Linked DNA regions of Sus scrofa. The protein of the gene in region 2 interacts with the protein of the main gene of each other region in a biochemical or structural test. Links are inferred from orthologs where the notes say so. Each region holds a gene or a part of one and is shown on either strand. Other genes may lie near its edges.

The links.
Region 1: the proteins of UBC (region 2) and PSMD5 form a complex in vitro, tested with the Homo sapiens proteins (2 studies listed by BioGRID). The link is inferred for Sus scrofa from reciprocal best matches to the Homo sapiens genes UBC and PSMD5.
Region 3: the proteins of UBC (region 2) and UBXN6 form a complex in vitro, tested with the Homo sapiens proteins (2 studies listed by BioGRID). The link is inferred for Sus scrofa from reciprocal best matches to the Homo sapiens genes UBC and UBXN6.

Annotation. Positions count from the first base shown.
Region 1 is NC_010443.5:260,849,325-260,851,916, reverse strand, and holds part of PSMD5 (26S proteasome non-ATPase regulatory subunit 5), read left to right. Parts: coding exon 1-57; intron 58-590; coding exon 591-731; intron 732-2,592. UniProt on the Homo sapiens protein: Acts as a chaperone during the assembly of the 26S proteasome, specifically of the base subcomplex of the PA700/19S regulatory complex (RC).
Region 2 is NC_010456.5:28,252,522-28,256,281, reverse strand, and holds the start of UBC (polyubiquitin-C), read right to left. Parts: upstream 2,426-3,760; 5' UTR 2,370-2,425; intron 1-2,369.
Region 3 is NC_010444.4:74,374,373-74,376,821, forward strand, and holds part of UBXN6 (UBX domain-containing protein 6), read left to right. Parts: intron 1-712; coding exon 713-810; intron 811-1,360; coding exon 1,361-1,436; intron 1,437-2,093; coding exon 2,094-2,178; intron 2,179-2,266; coding exon 2,267-2,449. UniProt on the Homo sapiens protein: May negatively regulate the ATPase activity of VCP, an ATP-driven segregase that associates with different cofactors to control a wide variety of cellular processes.

The sequences.
Region 1 (2,592 bases), on a different chromosome or scaffold from region 2:
TCAACAGAGCTCAAAATTAGGTGTTTGGATGCAGTTTCCTCTCTTTTTTATTTACCAGTAAGTAGACTGGGAAATTAATAAAGGACTTAGGGATATGTAGGGGAGAAGAAATCTGTATGAATCAACATAATACTGGTTAACTTACTATAAATGTTGACCAAAAAACGCCATCTTTCTCACTTGTAGTGAAAGAAGATAACCCTCATTTATGACTGGTGACATTTTTTAAGTTAAAGTGGAATCGTAGAATGTTAAAACTGGAAAGGAGAGTTCCCTGGTGTCTCTGCAGGTTAAGGATCCAATATTGTCACTGCTGTAACTCCGGTCATCTCTACGGTGCAGGTTCAGTCCTTGGCCTGGGAACTTTCACATGCCAAAAAATGAACAAAAAAGCTGGAGAGCACCCTAGAAATTGCTTAATCAACCCCCCCCCCCAAAAAAAGCAAAAAACTGGGGCAGTTTGGGCTGAGTTTAGGGGGAAGCACTTCAGGCTTGGCAGAGACCACACAGCAAGTTAAAGACAGAGTATGATCAGAATCCAGGTTTCCTGACTTTCTAGTGTCCTGAGATTTTCCTTTTCCGTCCTGTAGCCTGAACAGCAGACTGATGACCTCCTGAGGATGACAGAATCCTGGTTTTCTTCTTTATCTCGGGACCCGCTGGAGCTCTTCCGTGGCATCAGTAATCAACCTTTCCCTGAACTACACTGTGCTGCCTTAAAAGTGTTTACGGTAAGCATTCTCTTCACAAGCCTTTCTAGGCCTCTGCCAGCTCAGTACCTGAATACTTAGTGAGCCAGTCCCTCTGCCTTGCCCTAGGGATACACAAGAGCACAGGAAGTTTCTGCCCTCTACTCTTAGTGTAGACTAATGAGGGAGACAGCTTTGTAGATAGATTTTATTAGTAAAAGGTATTAATTAGGTGCTACAGCATATGTTTGAACAGGATTAATTAATTAATCCAGAATTAATTCGGGATTCTTTACGTCCCTAGCCCAGGTTTTCCCAAGCCTTATTTCCTGCCCTTCCTTTCTGGCATAGGATGTTCTAGTGATACCAGACTTCTCATTTCATATCTCTGCATCCTCCTGTACTCTTTCCATTCAACAGTCTTCCCTGACTTCCTGGCTTTGCTTGTTAACCACTCATTCATTTTTCAAGAACTAGCTGAGGTATCTCTTCAGCAGGTGTTGCGAAAACCCACAAGGTTGAGCTAAGCAATATTGGCTCTTATACTTTGCATTTATTGATTCATTCAGCAAAGATTTGCTGAGTTTATTTTCTTTTTTCTTTTTGCTTTTTAGGGCCACATCCTCAGCATATGGAAGTTCCCAGGCTGGGGGTCAAATCAGAGCTATAGCTGCCAGCATACACAACCACAGCAATGCAGGATCCAAGCCACATCTGTGACCTCCACCACAGTTCACAGCAATGCCAGATCGCCAACCCACTGGGCAAGGCCAGGGATCAAACCTGCATCCCCATGGATACTAGGCAGATTTGTTTCTGCTGTGCCGCAACGGGAACTCCTTGAGTGAAATTTTCAAAAATATTTATATAAGTTGCTATTGGAGTTCCCATCGTAGCGCAGTGGAAATGAATCTGACCAGGAGCCATGAGGTTACAAGTTTGGTCCCTGGCCTTGCTCAGTGGGTTAGGGATCCGGCGTTGCCTTGAGCTGTGGTGTAGGTCACAGACATGGCTCAGGTCTCGCATTGCTGTGACTGTGGTATAGGCCGGCGGCTATAGCTCCAATTGGACCCCTAGCCTGGAAACCTCCATATGCTGCAGATGAGGCCCTGAAAAGCAAAAAAAAAGCAAAAAAAAAAAAAAAAAAAGAACCATATAAGTTGCTTATTCATTATTTTTAAATTTGAAAAAGATCAAGAAGTAGAATATACCTGTTTGGTATATTTCCTTTTAGTATTGGTATTTGTTAATATTTATTTATTTACTTATTTATTGGTGAAGTATTTCAAACACACAGTCATGCTACCCATGCCCAATCCAGTTCCCTTTTCTCCCTCTCTGGATGTAATCACTGTGATGAATTCAGGATTCATAAGCACACGCATGATTTTATGCTTTTACTACCTATGCATGTATACTTAAATTATAGTTTTTTTTCATGGTTGTATTATATTTTAAAATTATAGTATTTTACATATTCTTAAATTGTGTAAATAGTATGCTGTTCATATCGTTTCGCAATTTGCTTTTTCTCTTTAACATTATGTTTTTAAGACTTATCTAAACTAAAAGAGGCAATTAGAAAGTCACTAGGGAGTTCTCCTTGTGGCTCAGCAGTAACTAACCCGACTAGCATCCATGAGGATGCAGGTTTGATCCCTGGCCCCTTCAGTGTGTTAAGGAGCTGGCGTTGCTGTGAGCTGTGGTGTAGGACAGCAGCTGTATCTCCAATCTGACCCCCAGCCTGGGAACTTCCATATGCTGTGGGTGCTGCCCTATAAAGACAAAAAAAAAAAAGAGAGAAAGTCATTAGTATTTCATTGTATGGCTATAGTGTGTCATTCTCCAGTAAGTGAAGATTTAGATGGTATCTATTACAAATGATGCTACAATGAACATTCTT
Region 2 (3,760 bases):
TCAAGCCCGCCTCAGGAGGGTCGTCAGGACCTGCAGGAATTTTCTCACAACGCAGGAGTGAAAAATAAGTGTCCAAAGGAGAAATGCCTGTGACAAGTTCACATTGAATTTTGAAAAGTAAAAGCAAAAATTCCACACAGCTGTGAAACACTCCTTGCGCTGGACCTGAAAGCTGACAGAACTTTGCGGATTGCTCTTCGGCCTTCCTGTTTTGTTCCCGATTATGAGCAAGAAGGCATCAGAATTTCACTTCTGCTGCCATTTGAACTCAGAAATCAGAAATCAAATCTATTTAAACCCACGTTTTCTTTTTTTCTTTTTTTTAATTTTATTTTTTAATGAAGTTTTTTATTGTAGTTGATTTATAATGTCAATTTCTGCTTTACAGCAAAATGATAGTCATGCATATATATACATTTCCTTTCTTATCGCTGAGCCTGAGATTTTTAAAAGGACACTAATTGTAAGTTCTGTATAGTCCTGGTGGAAAAAAGACCCCAAGTATGAAATTTAAATCTATAGACAAATTCCATTTGGATAAAAGAAAAAGATCACCAGTCAGATCTTTTTCATTTTGATATTTTATTTTGTGATCTCTGTGTCATTTCTCCAGCATATTTTTTCCTTTTTTCAAAAAGCATACTTAAATTTTTTTCCAAAGGCATATTTTAAAAATGTTTTAAAATATATGAACGTGATGAAAACTTAAAACAGGTTTTCTATAGTTTATAATGAAAAACCTCCCTCATGCACTCAATTCCCTAGCCACTGTTCTTTCTAGACTCTTCTAGAAATATTCTCTATTTCTATAAATGTGGGGAGGGTGTTTTTAATTTTTACCCTTGAAGCTTTCAATAAATATATAGAAAAAGAGAGAACCGACTAAAAAATACCCTGCTATTAGGAAAAGACTACATTCCTGTTGGAATTATAAACATTATGTTATTTAAATACTGTACTTAAAATGAGAATAAAAACAAAACTATGTTTTCTTTGGCAACCTGTGTCTGTAGGTATTTATGGGAAAGGTCTAAGCAGTATTCAAAACAGACTTTAACTCCTATCGTTTTAAACATTTTCAAAGAGAATGAATTCATTACCAAGAAATGTAAATGAATAATAAAAATAAAATGTCATTTTTCAGTTTAGCAGGAGACCTCAGTGACTTCCAGTAGAGATTTCTGTGAGGGATATTTCTAAATTTCTGAAAAGAGGGTTTAAAGGAACAGAACATCAAAGCTCTGTATAAGGTTTCCTTCTTGAATTCCAGAAAGAAGTTTTCAGAGGAACAAAAAGCTGAGGTTCTTTCTCAGGTGACTAGGCCTGGCTTCAAACCACACCCTGTTTTCTTTTGGCTGTTCTTTCACTGCAGGTCTTATGATTCATGTTGTTTAAAGGCTGAGTCACGAGCTTTGTGACATAGCTTTTTTTTCAAGAGTCCAAAAACTACAGAGAAAAACAGACCTGATTTCAGAGGCAAGGGAAGGTGAAAAGGAGAAAGAGGGGGAGAGGGGGAAGAAGAAAGGCTCCAAGGGTGAGGACTGGGTCCCAGGGCTATCTCCAAAGAGAAAACAATATTCTTAGGCGCTAACAACACTGATGTTGTCTCTAGCAGGAAAATTCTCTACTAGAGAATTTTGGTCTCTAAGTCCAACAGTGGGTTTTGTTGAAGCAAATAGAAATAAACATTTGTCCAAGGGCACTGAAGTGAAAGGGAGGAGGGGGAAGTAAACTCTCAGGGAGGTAGATGCTGTTTCTCTAGAGCAGTGGTTCTCAACCAGGAGCGACTTGGTCCCTTGGTGGACACTTGGCAGTATCTGGAGACATTTTTGCTTGTCACAGCTGTGGTGTTGGGGTTGAGGTGTGCCGCTAAAATCTAGTGGTAGAGGCCAGGGATGTTACTAAACATCCTGCAGTGGCCAGTCCCCCACAAAAACAGAATTACCCAGCCCCCAAAGTCAGCAATGCAATGGGTTGACAAATTCTGCTCTACGGAGGATTTTTGTTGTTTTTGTTAGAGCTGCTTTTCTGTTTGCTGAGAAGGGCTCCCAAAGTCTAAATGTCCCACTTGGATTCGGGGATCGTGTACCAAGTCACGTTCCTACAACCTAAAATCCCTTGACCTAGAATGCAATGTGCTAGAATATGCCAGAAGCAGGATGAGTCATTGGATCCATTTTCAGTTCCTTCCACCCACTGATCCATCCTTTGCAGGTGCCCCAGAAGGGATGGCTTCAGAGCTGGCACCAATGGAAGAGTGACAGAGGCCCAGCAACACGGCAGGATTGGCGGGCAGGCAAGAGCACGTGATGGGCTGAGCTCACAAAGGGCCTGGGTGTTGGGCTGTTGGGGATTGGACTGGAGCCTACCTGTCTGCCTTTCCTCCTTTCCCCAAAGGATTCAGCTCTCCTGAAGGTCACCACCTTGTATGGGACTTAACTCAGCGTCATGAGAGTGTCTACGTAGTGACCAGCAAACATTTTCTTTCCAAGAGAAAGGGTGAAATCTGAGAGCTGGACGGGAAAGGTTTGACTTGCGTCATCATCAGTTATATAACCATAAAAGGGAATCTGCAGCTTAGGAGAGAAAAAATAAAAAGAAGCCCTAGGGACTCTACTCTGTCCGTTTTCCTGCTTACATTTATGTATTTGCATTCTGTGGCAGAACACAAACTGCTCCAGCTTAAAAATAACCCATCTTATCCCCCCGCCAGTCAGGAAGTCAGATTCAGTTCCAGTACCCAAATTTGCCTAACTTAGAAACACTAAGAAATTTTTTAACTCACTGGGGTTTTGTTTTGTTTTTTAATTTGCTGTTTTTAAATTGTGGCAAAATACACATAAAAATGTATCATCTTAACTATTTTTAAGTGTACAGCTCAGTGGCATTAATTATATTGTAGGGGAGGAAAAATAATTTTCCTTTTGGGAATCCTTCTTTTAGCTGAGACCCCTGTAATGAAAGACAGATTAGCAAGAGAAACAAAACAAAAGAAAACAAAAACAATAGTTTAGTAATATGCACACCTTGTGTATATATGGGAGCTACCCTCTGGGGGAAAATGTGTCACTTAAAAAAAAGGCTTTAGAATTTAGGCTTAAATACCATCTTAATAGGAAATTCTCTTAAAGGGAGAGTAAATAATTTTTACTGAGAAAATAGAAGAATAGATGGAGACAAGATAGTTGATGACAAAGTTTGGTGTCAAAGTTTGTCTCTCCTGTTTTAAGAGCCAATCTTCCCTGGTTGGTGAAAACTCCCTTGAGTTTCTTTTGCAAAATCTGTCTGGGCAGATTAGGGGAGTTGAGTGAAAGCCTCACTCTGCATTTGCTGCTTTTCAAGTGACTACACCTCAAAACAATATCAAATTGGGGTATTTGGGTGTCCATCACTGCCATCTGTGTCCACTCTTCGGCTTGCTAGACTGAAATTTTGTACGCATTAAACACTAACTACCCCCACCCCCAGCCCTGGGCAACCACCATTCTATTTTCTGTCTCTATGAATTTGACAAGTTTTTGGTACCTCATATAATGAGTTTTGTTAGTTTGTTTTTTAACTATGAAATAAAATCTAATTATTGAAAACATGTTTTCCAAAGATTCATGACATCTTTTCTAGAAAGTTCTGTCTCCCAGGACAAGCCTTGTTATTTGTTCTGTATGGTATTTTTTTTTTTTTTTTGTCATTGTGCTATCAGAAATACTGAATTATAAGACACAAAGTAAAACAGAAGCACATGATTCATGTTAGGCCTGGT
Region 3 (2,449 bases), on a different chromosome or scaffold from region 2:
ATCCATCCTGTCTCTGCTGCCTCAGTCTATCCCTAGAATGTCCCTCAGTGGGCTGGGGGATTAGGAGGGATGGTGTGTCCACGGTGGCCAGCAGGTTCCGGATCTAGAGGCTGCAGCGCCCTTGGCGGTGCTTAGTGCTGGGTTTGGGCTCCAGAGCAGAAAGCAAAGATGTGTGTCAGACCAACCTAGGGTGGCGTAACCCAGGCTGCCAATGCCCCCTCTTTCCTAGAGGTGGGGGGAGGGTGAGGCCCAGGCTGGAGTTCTCAAAAGGGCTTTTCTCCTTGTTCTGCTGGGCCTGCACGATCGAGTTTGCTTTGGTCACATGCTAGGGCCTGCTGTGAGAAAGTTCTGTTATCACTGGTGTCACTAGACCCAGTTGCTTGGCTGGCATGGCCTCCAGGCGCCAAAATGGGCACTTTCTTTTTTTTTTTTTTTTTTGTCCTTTTAGGGCCACACCCACGGCATATGAAAGTTCCCAGGATAGGGGTCAAATTGGAAATGTAGCCACTGGCCCAGATCACAGACACAAGGCCAATCCAAGCTACATCTTCTACCTACACCACAGCTCACGGCAATGCCAGATCCTTAACCCACTGAGCGAGGCCAGGGATCAAACCCATATCCTCATAGATACTAGTTGGATTCATTACCGCTGAGCCACAACATGAACTCCGGTGGGCCCTTTCTGACTCGCTTTCCTCCCTCCTCCCAGCACTTTTCCACCGACCCAGTGGCTGCTTCTATCATGAAGATCCACACGTTCAACAAGGACCGTGACCGGGTGAAGCTGGGCGTGGACACCATTGCCAAGTGAGTGGGTGGACCCCACCCCTCCCACCAGGGTCCCAGCTCCTAGGCCTCCATTGCAACCTGCTGAGGGAGCCTGGAGGGAGCATGGCCCTGGGAGTGCAGCCAGGCCCCACCCTTCACTCCCCTAAGCCCTTGGGGAGGGGGCTTGGCCTCTCTGGGCCTCAGTTTAGCTATCTCTAAAACGAAGAGTTTTGCCAATTTAGGGGTTCCCAACCCTGACTTCCCTCCCAGAGCATCAGAACATGAAGGAGGCAGGGTTTTCCCCTGCCCCCAGTTCCTCTGACTGAGCAGGTCCAGAGGGGCCCAGGGGTCCATGTTGCCCAGGAGCCTCTGAGCTATCTCTGGGCACCATTATTCTGTCTCTGCCTGCTCCACCCCACCGTGGTGGTTCCTCAGTGCCCCCAGTGGGAGAGCCTAGACTGAGGAGGCCCAGTGATGGGGGCAGCAGGGGTTGGGCTCCGAGGGTGTCCAGGGTATGATGGCAGGCTTTCCTGGGTCACTCGTAGTACAAGCTGACGTGGCTGTGAGCTGCCATCCTTGTTCACCCCAGGTACTTGGATAATATCCACCTGCATCCGGAGGAGGAGAAATACCGGAAGATCAAGCTGCAGAACAAGGTGTTCCAGGTGAGGGCTGCCACCAGACTTAGCCTGGTGTGGCTAGCATGGCCAGGCCCGAGGCCACCCAGGACCCAGTCCAGCAGTAGGAGCAGGTGGCCTGCAGATAGCCAGAGGGGGCCAGAGCCAGGCTGCAGAAAGGCCCCTGCAGGAGTTGGGAGTTGGCAGGTGGGGAGGGGGATTCCTAAGCACAGGTTGTGTACAGTATGCATACAGTGTCTGCTCTCCCCACCAGCCACAGCATGTTTCGGCTTTTCTTTGAATTCATTGGAAACACATCAGCACTGGGGAGATTTTTCACGGACAGACTTCTGGTTTCTGTGGAGAAATCAAAGGGCCTCCCACCCTGGCCCTTTGGTACCTGTGCAGCTGGCAGGGCTCCACTGTTTACTGGTGGCCCCCTCTGAAGCCCAGCATCACACAGCCCACCTCCCTCACTTTTGGGGATTCCCTCGCCCCTCAGCCTCCTTTGCTCTGGTGTTGACCTTTCAGGGTCCCAGGCCCTATGTAAGCTAAGCCCCACAGACAGCTTCAGGGGTTCATCCTCTCTGGGGACAGAGCAGCTCTGAGACCCGGGACTTTGGGAGGAGGATGGGGTGAGCAACAAGGCTGGTGGGGTGCATGGGGGCCTCCAAGGTCCCATATGACCTCTGGTTCTGCTCTCAGGAGCGCATTAACTGCCTGGAAGGGACCCACGAGTTTTTTGAGGCCATCGGCTTCCAGAAGGCACTGCTTCCAGTCCCTGACCAGGGTAAGACGAATAGAGAAGAGCCTTGGCTGAGCCCAAAGAGGGTGGTGGGAGGGGCCTGGCTCAGAGTTGACATCCCTGTATGTCACAGAGGGCCCTGAAGAGTTCTACGTGCTGAGCGAGGCGGCCTTGGCCCAGCTACAGAGTCTGGAACGGCACAAAGAGCAGCTGTTGCACGCCGAGCCTGTGCGGGCCACACTGGCCCGTCAGTGCCGGGTCTTCCGGCCCTCGCCCCTGGCCTCCCAGTTCGATCTGCCCATGGATTTCTTCAACC